Linked DNA regions of Elephas maximus indicus. The protein of the gene in region 2 binds, or shares a complex with, the protein of the main gene of each other region. Links are inferred from orthologs where the notes say so. Each region holds a gene or a part of one and is shown on either strand. Other genes may lie near its edges. The genes, in order: GON7 and OSGEP.

Region 1 (11,617 bases), about 76 Mb from region 2:
CAAGCACCAATATTATCTTGACATTTCTCCTTTATACATTTACTGATCAAAGGAAGCATAAAATACTCAGGGAGCAAAGTTCTGCTAGCAATTTAAAAATACGATCTATTTTAATTCTATAGGGTTAAGTTTTTTTAAGAATCATATACCGATACAAGATTATTATAATCAGTAACTGAGCTGAAGTCCTGATACTAGACAAAGCAAGGGAATTTGATTTCTCTTTTTATCAGCTTAAAAACATGGCGAAAGGCTATGTATGTAACTCAGCTCTGCCAACGGTTAGCTGTGTAACTCAGGGCAAATACTTATTCTGAGATTCAGTTTATTTCTGAAGTAAACCATAATTTTTAAGGTTATTTCCAATTGAAAAATTCTATGGCTTTGCATTTCATTAGGGTACACGCTACTTGATATCTTTGCATTCATTCGCACTTTAGCAATCTAAATAAATCAGGAAAGATGTACGGTAAATCAAAATGCCTTAGTCCTACTAACAAGTAGAAAAGGAACACACTATTTTAGGAATATCTATTTTTAAAAGAAATCAATAGTCCTGTTACGCAAGTATGGCTACAAGAGGAAAGGAAATGGCTCTAGTCAACAGATTAACTTAAGGCCTCCCATCTGGCCCTTAAGGCACAAGTTAAACCAGGTGATTAATACATATTTATTGAGTGGTAAGATGTCTACATTTTGGGTGTGAGTGTGGATTTAAGGTTTCCTTGGAAGCCTGGTGGTGTAGCGGTTAAGTGCTACAGCTGCTAACCGAAAGGTCGGCAGTTCAAATCCACCAGGCGCTCCTTGGAAACTCTATGGGGCAGTTCTACTCTGTCCTACAGAATCGACTTGACGTAATGGGTTTGGTTGGTTGGTCTGGGGCTCTCTCAGGAGTCCTAATTGTGCAGTGGTTAAGAGCTACAGCTGCTAACCAAAATGTCGGCAGTTCGAATCCACCAGCTACTCCTTGGAAATCCTACTGGGTAGTTCTACTTTATCCCATAGCGTCACTATGAGTCAGAATCGACTCAACGGCAACGGTTTTGTTTTGTTTTGTTTTTTGGTTTGGTTCTCTCTCAAAGGCTCTTTCTCTTCTGTATTTCTCTCTATGCCCTAATTTTCCTTCTCCGTGTAAAGAGCCACCACACTTACATTTATAATACCCAACTTTTGCCACTTGCTCATGTTAGTTCTTGAAATGTTATGTACTTTTTATAACAGAAGCAGAAGTTAAAAGATATAGACATCACACATTTAATTCAACGGTGCTATTTTATTTCCACAGTCTAAATTTTCTTTCTCACTCAAGATTTATTTCTAAGCATTTATTATATCTTTGCTGTAAACAGAAGCTTTTTCTTTGACAAAACTCCCCCAGGAGAACAAAACAGATGCTTTTCCAAATTAGGGCACAAGTCTTCCTGAAATGTCAGGGTGTGATAATTAGGACAGTAGCAGTCTTTCAGTTTAAATTTCATAAAAGCTATTGTTAAGACGGTGGTTTTGGCCGTTTTGCAGATGGTCCATCTGAGTTAGTTCTGTTATCAATGTTATTTTCATCTTCTGCATCATCTTCACCATCACCTTTTAAAATAAATATTTGTTGTATGATAAAATGTTCAATGGTTCAAAAGAAATATAGATCTTTAAAATGGTTGATAGAAACCATTTCAGTTTTGGAATTAATAAAACCATGCATATCTCAGATTCAAAATACGTATGATTAAAAATTTTTAGAAATTTATAACCTAAAACTTTTCTATCACTTTTTTTTTGGAGATATAATTCACATACTATAACACTCTTTTAAAGTGTCTTTATTTTTTTTTTTAGTACACTCACAAGGTCGCACAACCATCACCACTATCTAATTCTAGCACATTTTCATCACCCCAAAAAGAAAGCCCCTATTCATCATCAGTCTCTCGTCATTATTCCCACCCCAGCCCTTGGCAACCACTGATCTATTTTCTGTCTCTATGGATTTGCCTGTTCTGGACTTTTAATATAAAAGGAATTATACAATACACGACCTTCTGCGTCTGACTTCTTTCATTCAGCGTAATGGTTTCGAGGTTCACCCATGTCGTAGCATGTATCAGTACTTCATTTCTTTTTATTGCTGAGTGCTGTTCCATTGGATGGATACACATTTGTCTACCCATTCATTAGTTGATAGACATTTGGGGTGTTTCCAATTTCTGGCTATAATAAATAATATTGCTTTGAAAATTTGTGTACAAGTTTTTGTGTGAATTCATGTTTTCATTTCTCTTGGATACAGACTAGGAGTGGGATTATTGGGTCATACGGAAATTTTATGTTTAACTTTTTGAGGAAAAACCAAACTGCTTTCCAAAGCAGGTACACCATTTAACATTCTCACCAGCAAGGTATGAAGGTTCCACTTTCTCCACGTCCTCACTGATACTTGTTATTGTCATCTTTTTCACTATAGCCATCCTAGTAGGTATGAAGTGGTAGCTCAACTTCTTAAAATGACAGTATATATATAGGTAACAAAACACTTGTCATTTCAACAATCTTCACGTGCACAGTTCAGTGACATTAAATACAAACACGTTCATCACGTTTTTCACCCATCACCATTAATCACTGTGGTTTTGATTTGCATTTTCCTGACGGCTAATGACGTTAAGCAGCTTTTCATGCGCTTATTGGCCATTTGTATATCTTAGAGAACTGTCTATTCAAATGTTTTGCCCATTTCAAAAATGGGTTATTTGTCTTTCAAGGGTTGCATTCTGTCACTTTTTTTAGCAGCTGTTATAATTTTTATTTTTGCATACTTTTTGAGATATAATTCACATAAAGTCCATCATTTTAAGCTCTATCGTTTTTTGCAAAAGCAAAAAACTTGATCATTAAATATATAAAAACATGTCCTCCTATTACTGACTTATTATCAGCAGGACAAATGGTAGTTATTTTCCAATAAGTAATGATAGATTTTTAAAAAATAGCTCTAGCTATTATACTCTTGTTCTTACGTTATAACATTTTTAACAGATTAGAGAGCCAAGAAACAGGACTTAACTCTCAATATATGTGGCAACCACCAATTAACGTACTCATGGAAACAATCTATTATCTTGAACTCAGTGTAATGTCCTGAATTGATCTCTCCACATTATCCAGAACTATCAAGGGGAAAACAAGAGGGACAGTACTGTTTAAGCTCATCTATGGAAGAAATCCCGACTCCAATATTTAGTTCTTAGGTTTTTCAGCTCAGGCAGTCAAAATCCACCCGTTTTTGTATTCCAGACAAGATTGTTAAAAGTTAATGCAGTTAAATTTCACGTTTTTACTTCCAAACAACCACCTACAAAGCCAGGATATAAAAAAGGAGTTCCTCAGTTAAGACTTGTTAAACTGAAGTCTGTTTCAATCTTCGGAATCTGCGATACCTTGCAGTCTTCCAAACACGTGAGCCATCTCGCACCTGGTAACACTCCTTTCATCCTCAACACTGAGATCAGAAGTAGGGATGCCCTCTCTGAAGCCTTCTCTCGGTTTGCAATAGTTACAGAAGGCACAGGATTTATACTTTCACTCCTTAATACAGTGTTTACCTGTCTAGTCCCTCATCTGCCTGTGAGTTCCACAAGGGGACTCCATTCACCTCATTCTTTCTCTAGCTCAGCCCAGTGCCTGACAGAGTAGGCGCGTTCAGCACGTTCTGGGGGATAAAGTTGTGAAAACACTTCAATATAAACAGCCTAGATACACATGGCCGTGAGTGCCGACAATTTTTAGAGGGAGTACTCCTTCCATCGAGGGCTCCCCTTCCCCAAGTCCGCCACTCCACAAGGCTCCCCTGAGAGTCTCCCCGAGCGTCCCGCCCCGCCCCGCCCCCCAGCCGCTCAGCCTCGCCTCAGAACTCACCGTCCAAGGCCTCGTCTCCAGCCGCAGCCAACGGGTCCTGCGCTTCCCGCTGTACCAGGGGACCAAGGAGCTCGGCCACCCTTTCCCTCATCTGAACCACCCCCGACAACAGGCCCTGCAAAGGGTTGCCGTCGTCCGGCGCCTCACAAGACACCCGCAGCCGCAGCCGTTGCCCGTCCTGCCCTATGTACTCCCCTAGCAGCTCCATAGCGACTGCCGAGCTTCAAGCGCGCGCCACAAGAACACGTCACCCGGAAGCGGAAATCAGGCCCCTGCGGGCGCGGGCGGGAGCAGGGAGAGGAGTGACTTCCGTTTGTCCCGAGTCGCTCCTCCCCCGTCGGACACTTCCCTTTTTGGGGATTGGTTCCCGGGACTCAGGCCCCGCCTCCTCCGGCTACGCCTCTCGCGGCCGCTTTTCCCGCCTCCGCCGGGGCAGAGCTGCGAGCCGGGTGACAGTTGAGGATGGCCGGAGCAGAGGGCTCCGCTGGGCGGCATTCGGAGCTGGAGCCTGTGGTATCGTTGGTCGACGTCCTTGAGGAGGACGAGGAACTGGAGAATGAGGCGTGCGCTGTGCTGGGCGGCAGCGACTCCGAGAAGTGCTCCTATTCGCAGGTGGGCGCGCGGCCCGGGCCTCAAGTCCCCTCCGGCTCCCGCTGAGCCACCCCTCCCGGCCAGACTCCCAGTTCCAGGCGCCTCGGTCGTCTCCCCTGGGCTGGTCCAGGGCCGATGTTCGCCTCTGGGGTTCCCGCTCCAGGCCCGGATGCGCCTTTATCCTCCCAGGGCCCCTTTGTCGTTCTGTGCCCAGCCTTTCTCCTCCCGCAGTCTTCCTCCATCCAGCGCTCGGGATTCTCCAGGCTTGACCCTGGAGCGGCTGCTCAGTCCATCTCCAGTGTCTTCTTGGTAGCCCAGCCACTTCTTAGGAAACCATCCCCGTGACTTCTCAAATCCAGACATCTTTGTTTCTACTTCTCCCATTCTAAGGGCATTTATTAAGAACAGAACCATTAGGTTTTTTTTTTTTTTAAACTTTTATTTATTTTGTTGTTGAGAATACACGCTGCGAAGCAGACACCGATTCAACAGTTTCTACGTGTACAATTCGATGACATTGATTGCATTCTTCAACTTGTGCAGCCAGTCTCACCCTCCTCTTCTGAGTTGCTCCCCATTAACATAAACTCACTGCCTCCTAAGTTTCCTATCTGATTTTTCAAGTTACCGTTGTCAGTTTGATCCCATATAGGTAGTTCTTAAAAGAGCATAATGCTCAAGGCAGACCTTTTTTACTAGTTAAGCTAAACTATTGCTTGGTTTTAAGAAGACTTCAGGAGATATTTTTGATGTAAGGCTTAAAGATGATATCAGGGCAATAGTTTCAGGGGTTCATCCAGCCTCCATAGCTCCAGAAAGTCTGGAGTTCATGACATTTTGAAATTCTGTTCTGCATTTTCTTCCTTTTGATCAGGATACTTCTATAGGATCTTTGATCAAAACCACTAGATATTTATCAGGAGAGTCAAAGCAGGGTTAAAAGAGCTCTGGATTTGAAAGCTGCCCTGTGTGGCGTGGGCTGCTGAACAGCTAGTTCCTCTCTGCCGTTTAGTTTGGCAGATGCTTGTACTTTTGTGGTGAAATGAAGCAAGTGCCATGGCTGCCTGTAGTCTGCCGGCCTTGGAAATAGACTGGAGCCAGAACAGCAGGTGACACTGGCAAGCGGGGCAGGGAGAGGAGAAAAGGAAAGAATATGTTGGAAGAGGAAATTTGACATTTGGAAGACGTTGTGAACAAGGGTTCGAGAGGGTCCGATGTAGTGTTCAGCGACTCATCCTATATTTCTAGGTATCAAAGTGGAGAAAGGTGGACAGGAGGAAACAAGGAGTGTGAATTTATAGGAGGAAGGTTACCTAGACAGGAGGGTCGAGTGGAACATTGGGGGATGAGGAGAGAGACTTGCTGTCATCATGTGGTGTGCACTGAGATCATAATGCCAGTTGTCATCAATGACCAAGTTGAATTTGCACTGTAAAGTGGTTAGATTGTTGAGTAAACCTGGCATCCAGCTGTTGGCTGGTACTTTAAAACCTCTGATCACCACTGAAACAACATTTACTGTCCTTTTAAAAAATGGTGATAGGTCCTAAGTCTGTTTGTACACTATTTTTGAAATGTAGTTAGCTTTATGAAAGTTAGCTTTAATTAAAATTCTTTCTTTATTGTAGCATAATGGCAAATTATGCTAAAAAAAATCCAGCAGTGGTTTTGTGTTTTTTTTTTAATGGCTAATTGCACAAAACATGAGTATGGCTCTGAAAAAGAGTGACCACGTCCATATACCTACCACCCAGATCAAGAAATAGAACATTACTGGCATCCCAGAAGCCTCCCTGTGTCTCTCCCTCCTCCCTACAGGAGGGTAACCATTATCACGCTTTCTAAAAGCATAAGTTTTACCTTTTTTCCCCTTCAAATTTGTATTTTGAAATTTTTTAAACCTGCAAATAGAAGATTATGAACACCTGTATACCTCTCACATACATTCCTTGTTTTATCTCTAACACTTTCCTTTTTTTTTTTCTTTTTGACTGAACCATTTGAAAAGAAGTTGCAGATATCATGACACTGCACCTCTAAATACTTCAGCATGCATCTCCTAAGAATGCATTGATTTCTTTTGTAGAATTATAAGCCTTTTCCAAAATTAAGGTGTGATATAACTGGGTACTCGCATTCTCCTGTGTTTTCATGTGCTAAAATGATTAACCAGAACAACTTGTTCACAGTTGACTGAAATTTTAAGACTTCTTATCACTTTAAGAAGAAACTGTATGTAAATAAGCATAGTGTAGTACATGTATAGTGGTATGAAACATGCAACACTTCTCGGTGGTTTTTACAGGAAGATATTGACCACAGGTAATCTGATTTTAATTATTTCTCAGATGTTAGTATACGTATTAGGTAACTATGCCATATTTTATTAATTCATCCTCTCTCTCTCCATTTTGGGGCTGTCTTTTAGGGCTCAGTAAAGAGACAAGCACTATATGCCTGTAGTACGTGCACCCCAGAGGGAGAAGAACCAGCTGGGATTTGCCTAGCTTGCAGTTACGAATGCCATGGAAGTCATAAACTTTTTGAGCTATATACGAAAAGGTAAAGCCAGTCAGAGATTGTTACTGAATGCTCCTTTCCCAGCTGCACTTTTTTTTCTTAATTTTGTTTTTCCCTTAAAAGTAGTTGTGCACTAGTGACATTTAATATAATTATTTTATATAATGTAATTAGAGAAGGTAATTTTTCTAGAGGGCCTTTTAAGATATAACTGTGGTACAAGCTGAAGCTACTCATTCTTCTCTGCCATTGTTTTACATCTATTTACATGTATGTAGATATAGTTACGTGTACGTAGATATATGCATAGGGAGCCCTGGCAGCGCAGCGGTTAAGCATTTCACTGTGAACTAAAAAAGTCATCAGTTTGAATCGACCAGCTGCTCCTTGGAGACCCTATGGGCCAGTTCTACTCTGACCTATAGTGTCACTATGAGTTGGAATCTGGGCTTGGTTTGGTTTTATACACAGGTATATATATATATGATATATCTATCTGTCTTTATGCATGTTAATTTCTAGAATGTAAAATCCCATTTATTGTTATGTGTTTGGGAACATTCTGAATTGAATACCTGAACAGCAACCAAGTCTTCTTTTTAGATCCTGGAAAATTGTGGAAAAAGGAGTAGGCTATGATTTGAGTTTAAAGAGTAAGTTAAAAAGAAAAATAAAATTGGCTCTTCTTCCTTTATTTCAGAAATTTTCGTTGTGATTGTGGAAACAGCAAGTTTAAAAATTTGGAATGCAAACTATTTCCTGTAAGTAAGCACTATATATAAATGCGGAGAAAGAAGCTGAAGTTGATATTTGCCAGAGTGGGTGAAAACCAAATGTTTTCCAAAAAGGAACTTCTTATTCTCTGCAGTGGTCAAATCAATAATAGACTTATTTTATTTTTCACTTTGTTGGAAAAACCGTATACCCTGTTCTAAGCCTACTGAATAGATTGTAATTAATGTGAAGGGTTTGGGGGAAAAATGTTCTTAAAAGCGTTTCAGGTTCAGTTATGTCGGTTGTGTTCATGCTGTGAGGCTTTTAGAGAAAAGAATATGACTTTAAAAACTGAGTAAGTAAAACATGCTAGCAATGAATGTGGGCTAGATGCACACAAGAGTTTTTCACTGCTTTTTTGTTAATAAAACCTGCTTATGCAAAAACCTTCAATAAAACAACAAATGAAAGAGAAAGTAAGAAATGCCACATTGTTCAATTGTAATTGCTAAAGATGTCATGCTTTTTCCCTCCTTTGAAGGTATTTTTAGGCAATTTCCTTGCCTGCTTTTGATCTCCTAGTACCGTGGGGTCCTTAACTATCCCTGCTGGTCATAAAGAAGTACCCCCAAAATTTCAGGTCAATGTCAGTTTACATAGGTTAATAATTAATAATTAATTTTTTTCTCCATTTAATTGAATGGGTATATTCAATTTTCCCCTAATTGCTACAAAAAATAAATTTTATCTTTTTTCTGTATCTTGGGAAAAGTGTCCCTTCAGTGGGAGTGATTTTTTTTCTTTGCACTTTGAAAGTTAAAGACCAGCTTCTAGCGGGGGGAGATACTAATTTAATGCATACATTTCATCATGCGTGAAATTGTAGTTAAAATTAAACAATGTTACATATTGAAATTGTCTTTCAGGATAAAGCAAAGGTAAATTCAGGCAATAAGTACAATGACAACTTTTTTGGACTGTACTGCGTTTGCAAGAGACCTTATCCTGATCCTGAAGATGAGGTAAGAGAATTCGAGGTTAAAACCTGGGGCTCCGTTATCACTGGCTTTAACTCCTCAGCCTCTTGACATATGTGGGCTTCTGTAGCTGTTCAGCAGGGGGGGTGTGCATATTGTGAAAGAATTCTAAATTTATCCCTTCTTAATGAGTCTGGGCTAGATTTATTACTGGTACAGATCTGAACTACTATTCTCACTTTTACATTATAAAAATGAAACATTGTCCAGAACTTTCCCAAGGCCAAGACTTCTTTCCTTCCCTCTGTGTTCTTCCCTTTCTCTGTTTGCCTGCTTTCTCCTCCCCCAGTCACTCAAGAAATGACCTTTAAATTCTTGCCTCCTTGAAAGGAAAGAAATGCGGTTTGAGTGTATAAACTAGGCCCTCTTTAAAAATTCCGTTAGGAATATATACAAAATTAAGAGTTTTTCTTCTTCACTTCTGTACCTTCCTACCTCCCAGACAAAACCACTGTTAACACTTTTCGATGTATATATTCTTAGAACTTTTTCAATGCACGTGTAAGTAGTTGAGTGAATGTGTGTTTCTGTGTAGTTTCCTTTTTTTTAAACAAAAGTGAAAACAGTACTGCAACTTTTCTTCTCAGCATATCATAGCCATCCTTCCATGTCAGATGTAAACACCAATTTACATCATTCTAAGTGTCGCAGAGTATTCCATAGTTTCATATGGCATGAGTTAGTTCACCTAAATTTTCTTCTGTACGAGAATGGTCATGTCTGGTTTTTCACTATTATAAAAAAGGCTGCAGTGAACATCTTTATATGTCTTAGTCGTCTAGTGCTGCTATAACAGAAATACCACAAGTGGATGGCTTTAACAAAGAGAAATTTATTCTGTCAGACTCTAGGAGCCTAGAAGTCCTCTTGCTCCCTCTGGGCCTCTCTGTTGTGTTCCCTGTCAGGGCAGTCATCGGCTGTAGCTGGGCACCATCTAGTTCTTCTGGTCTCAGGCTGATGTAGTCTCTGGTTTATGTGGCCCTTTCTGTCTCTGGGGCTCATAATTACCTTGTGCCTTGGTGTTCTTCATTCTCCTTTGATCCAGGTGGGTTGAGACCAATTGATACATCTTAGATGGCCATTTGCTAGCGTTTAAGACCCCAGATGCCACTCTCCAAAGTGGGATGCAGAATGTTTTCTTAATAGATTTTATTATGCCAATTGACTTAGATGTCCCCTGAAACCATGGTCCCCAAACCCTAAAGGAGTTCTTTTTATCTTTAGAGAAATTAGCCTTCTTCCTTGCTTTCTAACTGTCTTAGATTTGTAATTGTTGAACCGAATTATATAGAAGAACAAATTGAAGATATCTTTGATATCTTATAAAACTGTTGGATCAAAAGACAGAAAAAACAAGACGAGGAAAAGACAGGACAGCATTGGAATTGTTAATCAGTAGACATGAAAGCCTGGGGATGAAAGGAAAATCATTCAAAAAACTGTCTACGTCCTTCGGTATATAATCTTTCTAGGGTTGACATTTAATTATTTAATTAATTCAAATGAAAGAAATTGTTGCTGTCCATATTATCAAGAAAGTGTCTTTCGCATTTACTTTTCAGTTTTCTTGGCAGCATGGTGTGGTAAGAAGTCCCAGTTGCCACATTCCAAGTTGGTCAATTCACATTCCCTCCCGGGGCCTCAGTTTGTGTGTAAAATGGGAAAATGAAAATGCCCTGCTTACGAAGTTTTAAAACCAGATGCCCCATAGGGTTTCCAAGGAGTGGCTGTTGGATTCAAGCTGCTGACCTTTTGGTTAGCAGCCAAGCTCTTAACCACTATGCCATCAGGGCTCCAGATATTAGGTAATTGATATGAAAGAGCTTTTGGTAATGGCAAGGTGCTAATCTCAATGAGGAGCCCTGGTGGCACAGTGGTTAAGAGCTGTGGCAGCTAACTAAAACGTTGGCAGGTGAAATTCACCAGCCGCTCCATGGAATCCCTATGGGGCAGTTCTACTCTTTCCTGTAACGTTGCTCTGAGTTGTAATTGACTTGATGGCAGTGCACTTGGTTTTTTGTTTTATCCCAGTGAAACCCTTACATGACACCAGTTCGTGTAGAACAGATTTCTTTGGCCCTTTGATCCATTGTTTCACCCTATCCCTTTGAGTACTGGCATGTGAATAGGAGTCTCAAAGTTGGTAGAGAATTATTTAATATCTAATTTTACTGTGTGCCACGATTATTTCTATGTCCCAGTATTCAATGTAATCATTAGCCAACAAACTGTTTCTGTGTTAGATTCCAGATGAAATGATCCAGTGTGTAGTCTGTGAAGACTGGTTCCATGGAAGGGTAAGGAAAGCTTCTTTCACCTTATTAAGCTATTATAAAGCCTTTGGAAAAAATTAAAAGGATTTTTTGCCTTTTTAATGGTTATATTTTACACCATGACTACTTTTCTGCAAATATAATATTATTAGTGTACTATTGTAATATTTGTTTATAAAATAATGGGCATTTTGGACAACGTGGGGAATCACAAGAAAAATATTCTGTTTTCTGTACTGACAGCATCTTGGTGCCACTCCCCCTGAGAGTGGGGATTTCCAAGAGATGGTGTGCCAAGCTTGTATGAAACGCTGTTCTTTCTTGTGGACTTACGCTGCACAATTGGCAGGTAGGAATCTGTGAAGTGTATGTCGCGAACCTGTGCTTGTGAAATTTGTAGGTTCAAGCCACAATTTTTAGGAACTGTTTTTAACGGGACCCTGAGATATAAGAAGGAAGTATAAGACACGTTCCTTCTCCACAAAGTGCTTCTAGATTGGTTGGGAGATTACCGAGAACAAATGTATACTTAAATGGCAGATTGTGGCTGGGACCAGAATTAGACAAAATGGA
Region 2 (10,532 bases):
TCTCCACAGTAGTTATATCTGACACGCTTTATATTTTTTTCTTTTTTTTGAGTTGTTGTTTCTTTATCGTCTTTGCTCCAAGTAGACAGGGGTTTTTATTTTGCCCCATGCTGTATCTCTATTGCCTAGAACAGTGCTTGGCACATAGAAGCTGCTCAGTAAGTTATTTGCTGAATGAATTTATTAAGCATCTGATATGAACCAACCCTATGCTACATACGGAAAATATGACAGTGAGCAAAACAGGTATGTTTCATCAAGGAAACATGAAAGTGCCCCCATCTCATTACCTCTCCCACACTTACCTCAATGAAAGACAGGATCCCTGAGAATGAGACATCCATCCCCTTTACAGTGTATGGCAGCTCAACTAGCTTCTTGCCTCTATGTGGGAGGGAGTGTATGAGGCACTAAGCCTAGAGTCAGCTGGCTGCCCCCCCGAAGCCCCCCCAATCCTCAATAATATATATACAAGGAACTCCCTTAAGCCCCACCAGTCAGCCTCCCTTTATTTTATGACCCCTCACCGCTTTGCCATCTGTTCAATGTTGTAGCCTGGACTTGGATCATTGGAAATCTGGCAGAGAGAAAAACGGGAAAGAAGTGAATGACAGGATGAGGTCAGATATCCAGGAACCATAAGGAACTTATTTACCCATTCCTCCCTCCATTTCCACAGCTCCCCAGAAAGTCATCCACATCTTATAATCTCTGCAGCCCCAATGCCTCACCTTCAGCACTCGGGCAAAGCGATCCAGACAATTACCCACTGCAATATCAATGGTTTCCCCAAAGATGCGGTAACGATGTTCTGAGTACGCAATCACCTAAGGGTGGTGAGGATGTCCATGAAACCTCAAGTCTGTAAAGAGGAGTATTTGGCTTTGGGGAAGAACACAGCAGAGGATCAACATGGCCACTAAACTTTCCAATACTAAATAAAAAAACAAGTATTTTCCCAAATCCTGAATGGGTAATTTTCTGTAGCTCTTACCTGAGAAGCAGCCCACATACAAGGATTCCCAGAAAAGATTCCTAACTTACCGAAGGTATTCCAGGTTGACTCAGAAGCAAACCATCACTTCATATACTTTTTTTTTTAAACATTTTCCAGGACGCCATTTGAAAATGTGGACTAGGGAACAGGTTCTCCTGCTTAGAGGCAGGGTACAATACAAGTGCCCTTCTAGATTATACTAACAGGGCAGTGGTATCTGGAAACAAGGGAAGAGGCAGAGCTGAAGAACTCAAAATCCTCTGTTGGGCTAGACTAATGGCCCACTCCACTCAGCACTGGCAACTGACTTATGTCTGTTCTTCACATGCGACCAGCTTCTAGCACAGGGAATATTTATCACCCACTGACAGACACATCTGCTCCACACCTCCCACAGTGAGGGCTCCCCAGGGACCATAAACAGTCCTTTTCCCTTATCGGAGTTGCTGGGGCTTTCTTTCCTTTTTGATGTAAATCTTACTCTGTCATCAAGGGGTTTCAGCTGCCAAAACGCTGGTGACAAAAGAGGAAAGAAAAATCCTGTCTTTCTACTTCTGTTACTCACTCCTCTCTATCCAATTGTCTTGTTTTTTATGACTAGGCAAGTTTCACAAGGGAAGAAGGGAAAACTCCATCTCTGATCGTCCTCATTGACCCTTGTAGACTTCTCTGCTACTGTCTATCCCCCAAATCCCTAACCTTTTATGTCATCCTTCTAGCTCCAACCAGCTCCTAACCCTCTACCTCCTGAAGTTCTCACATCAATTCCATGACTATGTGTACCTCATCTTTAATAATTATTTCACAAAATGAAGTTTTACAACATAACCCTCTTAAAAGCTGAGGACAATGCTCAACTATCCTTGACAAGAGCTCCGTCAGGTGTTCTGCAGGAAAGGAGGACTGGAGTCCTCTGACTCCATCCTCAAAAGGTCTTGCAAATACCCCAAACAACTCTAGTTTCACCTATGAATGTAAGACCTTTACCATTTATAAAATACTTTTTAAAATTTTTATATTTTCACACTCTTGGAATAATGAATTCTATACATTTACCATGAAAAATAAAAATACAAATCAGGTAGTGCTCCTTAGTCTTAATTGTTAAGATTTATAGAAAAAAAATAAGCTTTAAAATATAAAAAAATCCTTCCATTACTTCGAAGGCTTCAATCCTTACCAGTCTTTCAATTTTCTAAACTGGAGATTCCTAATCTTTACATACATAAAAGTTCCTGAATACTCTGATTGTCCTGCCCAAGTCTGCAATGCTACAAACTCTGTTGCGGGTTCTCTGATGTCTAACATTTTAGGCTCAGATGAGTCCAGCTTTGTTCTTGCAGTTCCTGCCACCCATGTAGAACACATAAGTTGCTGGTATGGCATCTCAGAAATTAAAAAGATATTGCTGAAGTTTTCTGTATACCTGAGTATTTCCTCCACTGACATACAGCACAGTTGGGTTGGTGGCTCCAGTGATGAGGCGGCCCATCTCAATGTGGCCAATACAGTGGTTCACACCCAGCAACGGCTTATTCCACAGCTGGGCCACAGTACGGGCAACAACAGCCACAGACGCCAGTGGGGCACCCATGCCAGGGCCTAGGGGGATAGAAATGGGCGTTAGAATCCTACAGAGACTGGGAGAAATAGGGATGGCGAAAGTAGGGATGTGAGAGGTGGGGTAGAAGTTAGTGGTGGTGGTGGCTGAGGTGAGGTGTAGGTTATTTTGACCCAGCCAGGCTCTAGGCCCATTCCTCCATTGTTGACCACGCTCCCAGCCATACCTTTGGTGTAGGCAACACAATCAATATCCTGGGAGGTCAATCCAGCCTCTGTTAGTGCCTCCTCCAGGAGATCCAGGATAACGGCTCGATGGTGCCGGGCAGTGTCACCTGGGAGGAATCCTAGGAGATGGTCACAGGTCAGAGGTTTTTCATTGCAATGATAAGTAGAAGAGAAAAAAGTTTTAGTATTGTAGGAAGAGTTCCTTTCTCCTGAAGTATGCCGTCTTCCGGGCTTTCAGATATTCCTTTTCACAATTTCTGGCAAACCCTGGTGGCACAGTGGTCAAGTACTATGGCTGCTAACCAAAAGGTCATTGGTTCGAATCCGCCAGGCGCTCCTTGGAAACTACAGGGCAGTTCTACTCTGTTCTATAGGATTGCCATGAGTTGGAATCAACTCAACGGCAGTAAGTTTAAGTAGGTTATGTAGGCTGTTAAGGAGCTCTGGATGCACAGTGGTTAAAAGTGCTGCTAAGCGAGAGGTCAGTGATTTGAACCCACCAGTCACCCAGCGAGCAGTCTGCTTCTGTAAAGATTACAGCCTTGGAAGCCCTATGGGGGCAGTTCTACTCTGTCCTATAGGTTCGCTATGAGTCAGAATCGATTTGATGGCTACGGGTTTGGTTTTTTGGTTAGGATACAGGCTGTTCAGCTCTCAGAAATGTCCTTCTTCATAAGCAACACAGCTTCCGGACTCAATCCTAGTTAATACCTACCCCATACCCTTTGGTGATCTTCCTTTGTGACCCTATTTAACCCTTTCAAAAGCTGAGAACAATGCTGAGCTATCTCTGACAAGAATTCTACCAGGTGTTCTGTGGGAAAGGAAGATTGAAGTCCTTCAGTTTATACACAGCACTTAACATGTAACAATCATAGCATTATAATTACAAGTTTCTCCCATTTAACTCTGAGTGCCTCAAAGCATTGGCTATTTTATTTATTTCTGCATTCCTGGGGCCCAAGTGCCTAGAAGAGTAAATGCTAAATATACATAGTTTCTCAGGTACACACATGTCAGTTGCTCTCTCCTAAGTGTGCAGGTGTATTGGGGGAGGGTAGGCTAAATAGGATACAACAGCTTAAAAATAACACTTATGAAAAGTTGTAATGTATCTGCTACTTCCATTTAACTCTCAAGAATCAGTGAGACAGGTCTTATTATCCCCATTTTAAAAGTAAAGAAATCCAAGAACATGGACAGTGACCACGAATATTACAAAGTCAGCAAGTTCTAAGCCGGGAGTCTTTCCACTCTGACCGCTCACTCTCCTTCTGGTTCTAGAATATTTTCATTGCATTTCTGATACCATTTACAGTATGACTGTGTCTATATGCCCGACTCCACAGCAAGCTCATGACATCTATTTTTGTATCCAGCAGCCAGCCAATGCTTGGCAAGGAAAAGGCGCTCAACAGAAGTTGAACGAATCCTGAAGATCCAGGTCCAAGTGCCTGCTGACTCTTCTATCCACCATAATTGTGACCTTAACACTGTCAAGTAGTATCAGTGAGCCTCGGATCAAAAGCTGTAAAATGGGATAATGCACCCCACTTCACTGACGTTTAGGAAGACAGAAGGTGATGCTGTGCGGTGAAGCGCGCTGTAAACTCCAAGTCCGCTAGTCATTTACCTGTGCCCGGCGGAGTGACGTAAGTCCGCCGCGGGTTCGCCAACACCGTGCCATCCCGCACTATTCCCACGCCAATCTTGTTGGCGCTGCCTTCGAAACCCAGCACCGCCGGCATGGTCGAGCCTGAAAGAAAACGCCGGCAGGGCTCCTGGTGACCTGTGGAGCGCCTCACCAGTCCGGGCTCAGCCGCAGAATCCGAGCTGAAAAGGAAGAGGACTTGCCCGCGGCTGGTACACAGCAACACGCACCGTCTCAGACCCCAGAGAACCCTTAACTGGAACGCTCGAGATGCGCGCACCGCCCCCGTCGTCACGGCGACCTGTGAAGGCCCCTTCAAGGACCCGACCTCCTAACTGCCAGGCATACTGACCTGGCATCTGCCCCTTACATTCCTATCCGCTCCCCGTATTTTCCCCTGGTGCAGTTCAGCTTCTCCCCCGATGTTTTTCCCTCTTGCACAGCGTCGGGATCTTCGGTCAGGGTCGCAGGATGAGTTATGCATCTGGCACAAAGATAAACAGCCCCAGGATGGTGGGTTGGGGCCTTCAGTCCCCGGGAGAAACGGAGCCGAGAGGGAAGGCCGGGCTTCGTCACGTGGTGACAGACAGACCAATCACTGCCGTTCCTCGGCCGCCCGCCGCGGACCTAGGATCACGTGACTACGCCAGTTACCCACGTGGGGGCACAACGGGCTCCATTCTTTGTGCCCGGGTAAGGAGGAGTCGGGCTGGGACTCGAGCAGGTCAGCTATGGGGGTGCTGTTCTGCCCACAGAGGGATTTTTCCTGAGGTCTGGCCAGCTAGGCTGAATCGGGGCCCATTATTAAGGTCTTAGATTGGCCGGAGGGCAGCTATCGGGAGGAGGGGCCAAGGCACTGTAAAACAATCTTGTCCAGTGCGTGTGGGGCTGAAGGGCCTATGATGCACCGAGGCAGGGAAAAGATTCAGAGATAATGCGGTTAGAGGCGACATCTGGTATGGGGATGCCTGAGAGAGGAGTCTCCCCGTTGCTAGCCTTAGCTGGTTTCACGATTTCTTTGCATCCGTAGGCAGCGCGCTAAAAATTTTGCTTCGGTGGGCGACGTGGAAGAAGTGCCTAAGGGTATTCCTTGCAGGGATGCCGAAGCGTGGGAAAAAGGGAACTGTGGCTGAAGACGGGGAAGAGCCCAAGATCGGTAGGAGAATAAAACGAGCTCCTCTCCTGGAGGCTGCGGTGGGGGTGCTTCCACTGTCTCGATGAAGGAAGGAGGCAGTACGGACCGGCCCATTTTTTTTTTTTTTTGAAGGTTTATGTGATCGAAGTCGTAGGTTCTCGCGCATACGGTTAACTTTGGGTCAAGGGTGGGAAACCACCAGCTTTTATCACTATGTGTTATTAATTTTATAGAGCAAGAGGCCAAAAAGAGTAAGACGGCAGCAAAGAAAAACGACAAAGAGGCAGCAGGAGAGGGGCCAGCCCTATATGAGGACCCCCCCGATCGGAAAACCTCACCTAGTGGCAAATCCGCCACACTTAAAATCTGCTCCTGGAATGTGGATGGGCTTCGAGCGTGGATTAAGAAGAAAGGTTTAGATGTGAGTAAGAGGAAGTGAAATTCTCTAGTACTGATCTTGGGTTTAATCCCTTTTTTCTCTTTTTGTTCCCTCGGATGCAGTTTTTGTTTTTCCTTGTCTAATTACCTTGTGGGAGAGGTACAATGGGAACTTCACAAAGACTTGCTAGTTGTAATTTTTATTAAACGGCCATTCCCTCAATTCCACTGCCACTATTCATGTCATTTCTTTTCCAGTGTTTCAAAAACCTCTTTATTGGACTTTCTCCATTGTATCTCCAATATATCTTTCCTTCCAATAAGTACTACTTAGCTATCCACTGCGCATATAAGCCTCTTCTCACCTTCTTCCTTTAGTTATCATTGTTAGAACACTTAACATTGTTTTATAATTGTTTAAATACTGTTTTGCTGGACTGCTGAACTCCTTATGCACAAAACCTCAAACCTCTCCTGTGAATTTCTCTTGTCATACGGAGATTAAACAAATGTCTGAGTTGATAAGACCTTCTCATCTTCACTCCCAGTGGGTAAAGGAAGAAGCTCCAGATATTCTGTGCCTCCAAGAAACGAAATGCTCAGAGAAGAAACTACCAGCCGAACTTCAAGACCTGCCTGGACTATCTCATCAGTACTGGTTGGCTCCTTCAGACAAGGAAGGGTACAGTGGTGTGGGCCTACTCTCCCGCCAGTGCCCACTCAAAGTCTCTTATGGCATCGGTGAGACACTCTATTGATCCCTAATGCCTGAGCTCTTCTGAACCAATTGCTAATACTGTCCTCCTGCCCCAACTCTATTCCTTCATTTTCTTTTATAGTTTTCTCTGATTCTCCTTCATCTTTTCTATAGGCGAGGAGGAACATGATCAGGAAGGCCGGGTGATCGTAGCTGAATTTGATGCATTTGTGCTGGTAACAGTCTATGTACCTAATGCGGGCCGGGGTCTGGTGCGGCTAGACTACCGACAGCGCTGGGATGAAGCCTTTCGTAAATTCCTGAAGGGCCTGGCTTCACGCAAGCCTCTTGTGCTATGTGGAGACCTCAACGTGGCTCATGAAGAGATTGACCTTCGCAACCCCAAAGGAAACAAAAAGAATGCTGGCTTTACTCCGCAAGAGCGGCAAGGCTTTGGGGAATTGTTGCAGGCTGTGCCACTGGCTGACAGCTTCCGGCACCTCTACCCTGACACGGCCTATGCCTATACCTTTTGGACCTACATGATGAATGCACGATCCAAGAATGTTGGCTGGCGCCTTGATTATTTTTTGTTGTCTCACTCCCTGTTACCTGCATTGTGTGACAGCAAGATCCGTTCCAAGGCCTTAGGCAGTGATCACTGTCCTATCACCCTACTCCTCGCACTGTGAGACCTCCCAAAAATCGCTTTGAGTCTGGAAAATGAGCCCCCTAAACTAGCATTTCTTCTTCAAAACTTCCTCTTAAGAAACCTGTGCTGTACTTGCCTTCTAAAACTATATGAATCCTCCAAACAGGCTTCTAGTGACAAATTTCAGCTTTCTTGAACTTTTAAGCGCAAGATTTTTGTTTCATGTTTTTTTTGTTTGTTTTTACATTAAATAAAAGCTACTGATGACTTCTTTTGAACTGTCCTTGTGAAAATAAAAAGCCATAGTTTCAGCCTTGCTGCCTTTGTGTTTTATCTGTTTCTTGGTGGGACTACAAATTCTCGTTTTCCCTGTCTTCATACATGCAAGTTAACAAATGGAGAAGAGTTGAGTCATGACCGTATTTATTTACAAGCATAGATGAATCCCTAACCTCCCCCAAGACGCAGCAACCCTACCCAGCCCAGATAGATACTGCAACTGGGGTTAAGAAGGTTGGAAGGAGGAATTAAAGGGAAATACAGGACTAGGGGAACATACCCCCACATTAAATAGTTATATATACATCAGTTCCCGTGGTTCTGTACAGAGCAGCGGCTGACCCCACCCCCACAGGACATGGAATGTGGGGAGAGGAGACTGAGGGTACTGAGGCCAGAGCCAGCCCCTGGTGAAGTGCAATAGCAGCAGCAAGGTCCTAATGGTGCACAAGAGGGAGGGAAACCCCCAGGGCTACCCCACCCACCCCTGCCCTAGAATGTGTAAGGGACAGGAATGGCTCTCGGGGCATATAGGAAGCACAAGGCTAGAACCGTCTTTTGGAGCCCAGCTTTAGGGGCAACACTGCGCCTACTTCACCCTTAAACACAGCAACCCTTGGAGGAGAGCAGATGGCCATCAGTGGTCTTACCTACCCCTCCAAACCTAAATGAGGGCCTGGTTCCTTCCTACCTCTCCCCTGGGAAAAGGAAGGCAGCTGCTTGGCTTCCCTTGTGGAAGCCCAGGGAGCCCTTTATCCCAGCTCCCTTTGTAGTGTCACTGTCCCCACCAGGGAGGGGCCAGGCACAGTCTGTATATCATGGTGGGGCTCAGGAGAAGTTCTGGGCAGGGTGGCTGACCTTCATACAGGCCCAATACAGGGCCCGGCCCAAACACAGCACAGCCAGCAGGATGACACATGCCCAGGCTGCATAGATACCTCCATATCGCCGTGCATGCTTCCATGTGCCAAACTGAAAGAGGTGAGGAGGAAGAAGGAAAAAAAGATGGGGTTAGTGTTGATCTCTTATAACTTCCCAGGAGCCCTAGTAATAGTGAAGTGACACAGACTCAAGCTTCTGTCTCAAGTCCCTACCCATCTGTAAAACCTTCAGGGACCTTTTTAAAGGCCAAGCTGCTCAGTTTCCTTCCCCTAGGCAGAAACATTCATACCATCCCAGACAGACACCTGTCAGTTTTTCTTAATGTCTCACAACTGAGCCAGGCTTCCTAATAAAAAACCAAACCCGCTGCCGTCGAGTTGATTCCGACTAATAGTGACCCTATAGGATGGAGTAGAACTGCCCCATAGGTTTTCAAAGGAGCAGCTGGTAATTCAAACTGCTGACCTTTTGGTTAGCAGCCCTAGCGCTTAACCACTACACCACCAGGGTTTCCATGCTTCCTAATATCAGATCTTAATCTAAGCCCCTTCTTCACTGTCTTGTCCTGTGCAGAGAGAGAGAATGGCCATTTTTCATTCCTACAGTAATGAAAAAGAATGTTGATTAGCTACCTTCAACATTAGCTCATCCATACCTTAAAAGAAAACCTAAGCAAACAGTCCTCAGTTTCTTTCACCTTTCTTAAAACCAAGACCACTGCCCTTGTGTCAATTCCGACTCATAGCCGACCCTACAGAACAGAGCAGAGCTGCTCCACAGGGGTTCCAAGGCTGTAATCTCTTACGAAAGCTGATTGCCACATCTTTCTGCCATGGAGCAGCTGGTGGGTCCAAACCACCAATCTTTCGGCTGGCAGCCAAGCACTTAACCACTGTGCCTCACTTTTCTTTAGGGTAGGTATTTCCCAAATCTCCCAGCCTATGGAGATAAGGCTGAGACAGAGGCAAACAGGAAGAATGAAAGGGGCTGAGTCAAGGTTACTCACAGCAAGGCCAGTGGCAGTGATTGCCAAGAGCAAGCCAAGCAAGAAACAGCAGATACATCTCTTTCGTGGATATCTGCGCCCAATAGACGACCTGTGGGGAGGCAAACAGGAGTGGATGCTTGTGATGTTCTCGTAGTTTTTATTCCACGTTACTGGATTACCAGCTCGATGATGCCACTCCCCAATCACTTACACTTTCCTGCAGTGAGGGCAACGTGCCAAGGTTCGGTCTGTGAACTCTGTCCACTATGGAGAAAGAAAAAAAGGAGAAGCTGATTAACGGTAGAAGCAGGGTCGTCCTCAGTGAGAACCCTGGGTGGAAGGGGTGGGGGCGGGAAACATACTTTTTCAGGGTTCAGATTATTACTCGAGAGAAATATAATTACTCCTAGTTTTTCCCCTGGGCTCCCCAATGCCCCTCCTCACCAGAAAAGTATTCTTGCAATGTCCACAGATCACCCTGACACCCACTGGCTGTGGTTCTGGACTCAGAGGTCCTGGATGCACAGGCCCCAGGTTGATGATTCTTTTGCTGTATATGAGAAAAGACGATGTTTAAAACATTTTTAATCCCAAGGATTTTAATCTCTCCTTCACCCCCCTCCACACCGCTACCCCCTCCCCCCCACCGCCTCTCTTATCAAGTTCCTCTGCTTCTCCATAGAGGGGCTCTATCCCTCATCTCCACTACAAAGAATCCTTGAAGAAACACACTGCTTAGAAGTCATGTCTTCACTTCTCTTCACCTCAGGATAATCCACCCAGTCCGAGGCTCTCCATTCTCCTAAAGGACATCATTTCCTCCCAATCTTTTTATGGAGAGATGAAATAGATGGCTATAACCCTGGGAGACACAACAGCCCCTAACGTTTTCTCCTAAATAAACTACAACACACTTACAGTCTCCATAAACATTCACCCTTCTTTGACTTTCCAGTTTTCCCCACTTAAGCCCCTCCCCACCTGATGCCTCTTACCAATAGGGCCGAGGGCAGGCAATCCGCTGGGAAGTCACTTTGCAGATAAGCAGACAGTTACAGGGGCAGCGAACATATTTTTTCCCTGGG

The links.
Region 1: OSGEP (region 2) and GON7 share a complex: the UniProt entries of both Homo sapiens proteins name them as parts of the EKC/KEOPS complex. The link is inferred for Elephas maximus indicus from reciprocal best matches to the Homo sapiens genes OSGEP and GON7.

Annotation. Positions count from the first base shown.
Region 1 is NC_064828.1:106,785,928-106,797,544, forward strand, and holds GON7 (EKC/KEOPS complex subunit GON7), read right to left. Parts: upstream 4,156-11,617; 5' UTR 4,118-4,155; coding exon 3,910-4,117; intron 1,585-3,909; coding exon 1,490-1,584; 3' UTR 1,235-1,489; downstream 1-1,234. Other genes in the region: putative E3 ubiquitin-protein ligase UBR7, read left to right, coding at 4,372-4,521, 6,929-7,062, 7,721-7,781, 8,661-8,756, 11,015-11,068, 11,288-11,393. UniProt on the Homo sapiens protein: Component of the EKC/KEOPS complex that is required for the formation of a threonylcarbamoyl group on adenosine at position 37 (t(6)A37) in tRNAs that read codons beginning with adenine.
Region 2 is NC_064828.1:30,594,483-30,605,014, forward strand, and holds the start of OSGEP (tRNA N6-adenosine threonylcarbamoyltransferase), read right to left. Parts: upstream 5,008-10,532; 5' UTR 4,796-5,007; coding exon 4,789-4,795; intron 4,778-4,788; exon of another isoform or gene 4,542-4,777; coding exon 4,419-4,541; intron 2,905-4,418; coding exon 2,785-2,904; intron 2,600-2,784; coding exon 2,424-2,599; intron 828-2,423; coding exon 732-827; intron 578-731; coding exon 528-577; intron 385-527; coding exon 306-384; intron 1-305. Other genes in the region: APEX1 (DNA-(apurinic or apyrimidinic site) endonuclease), read left to right, coding at 5,535-5,592, 5,805-5,992, 6,498-6,690, 6,821-7,338; PIP4P1 (type 1 phosphatidylinositol 4,5-bisphosphate 4-phosphatase), read right to left, coding at 8,406-8,549, 9,466-9,556, 9,659-9,711, 9,892-9,997, 10,443-10,532. UniProt on the Homo sapiens protein: Component of the EKC/KEOPS complex that is required for the formation of a threonylcarbamoyl group on adenosine at position 37 (t(6)A37) in tRNAs that read codons beginning with adenine.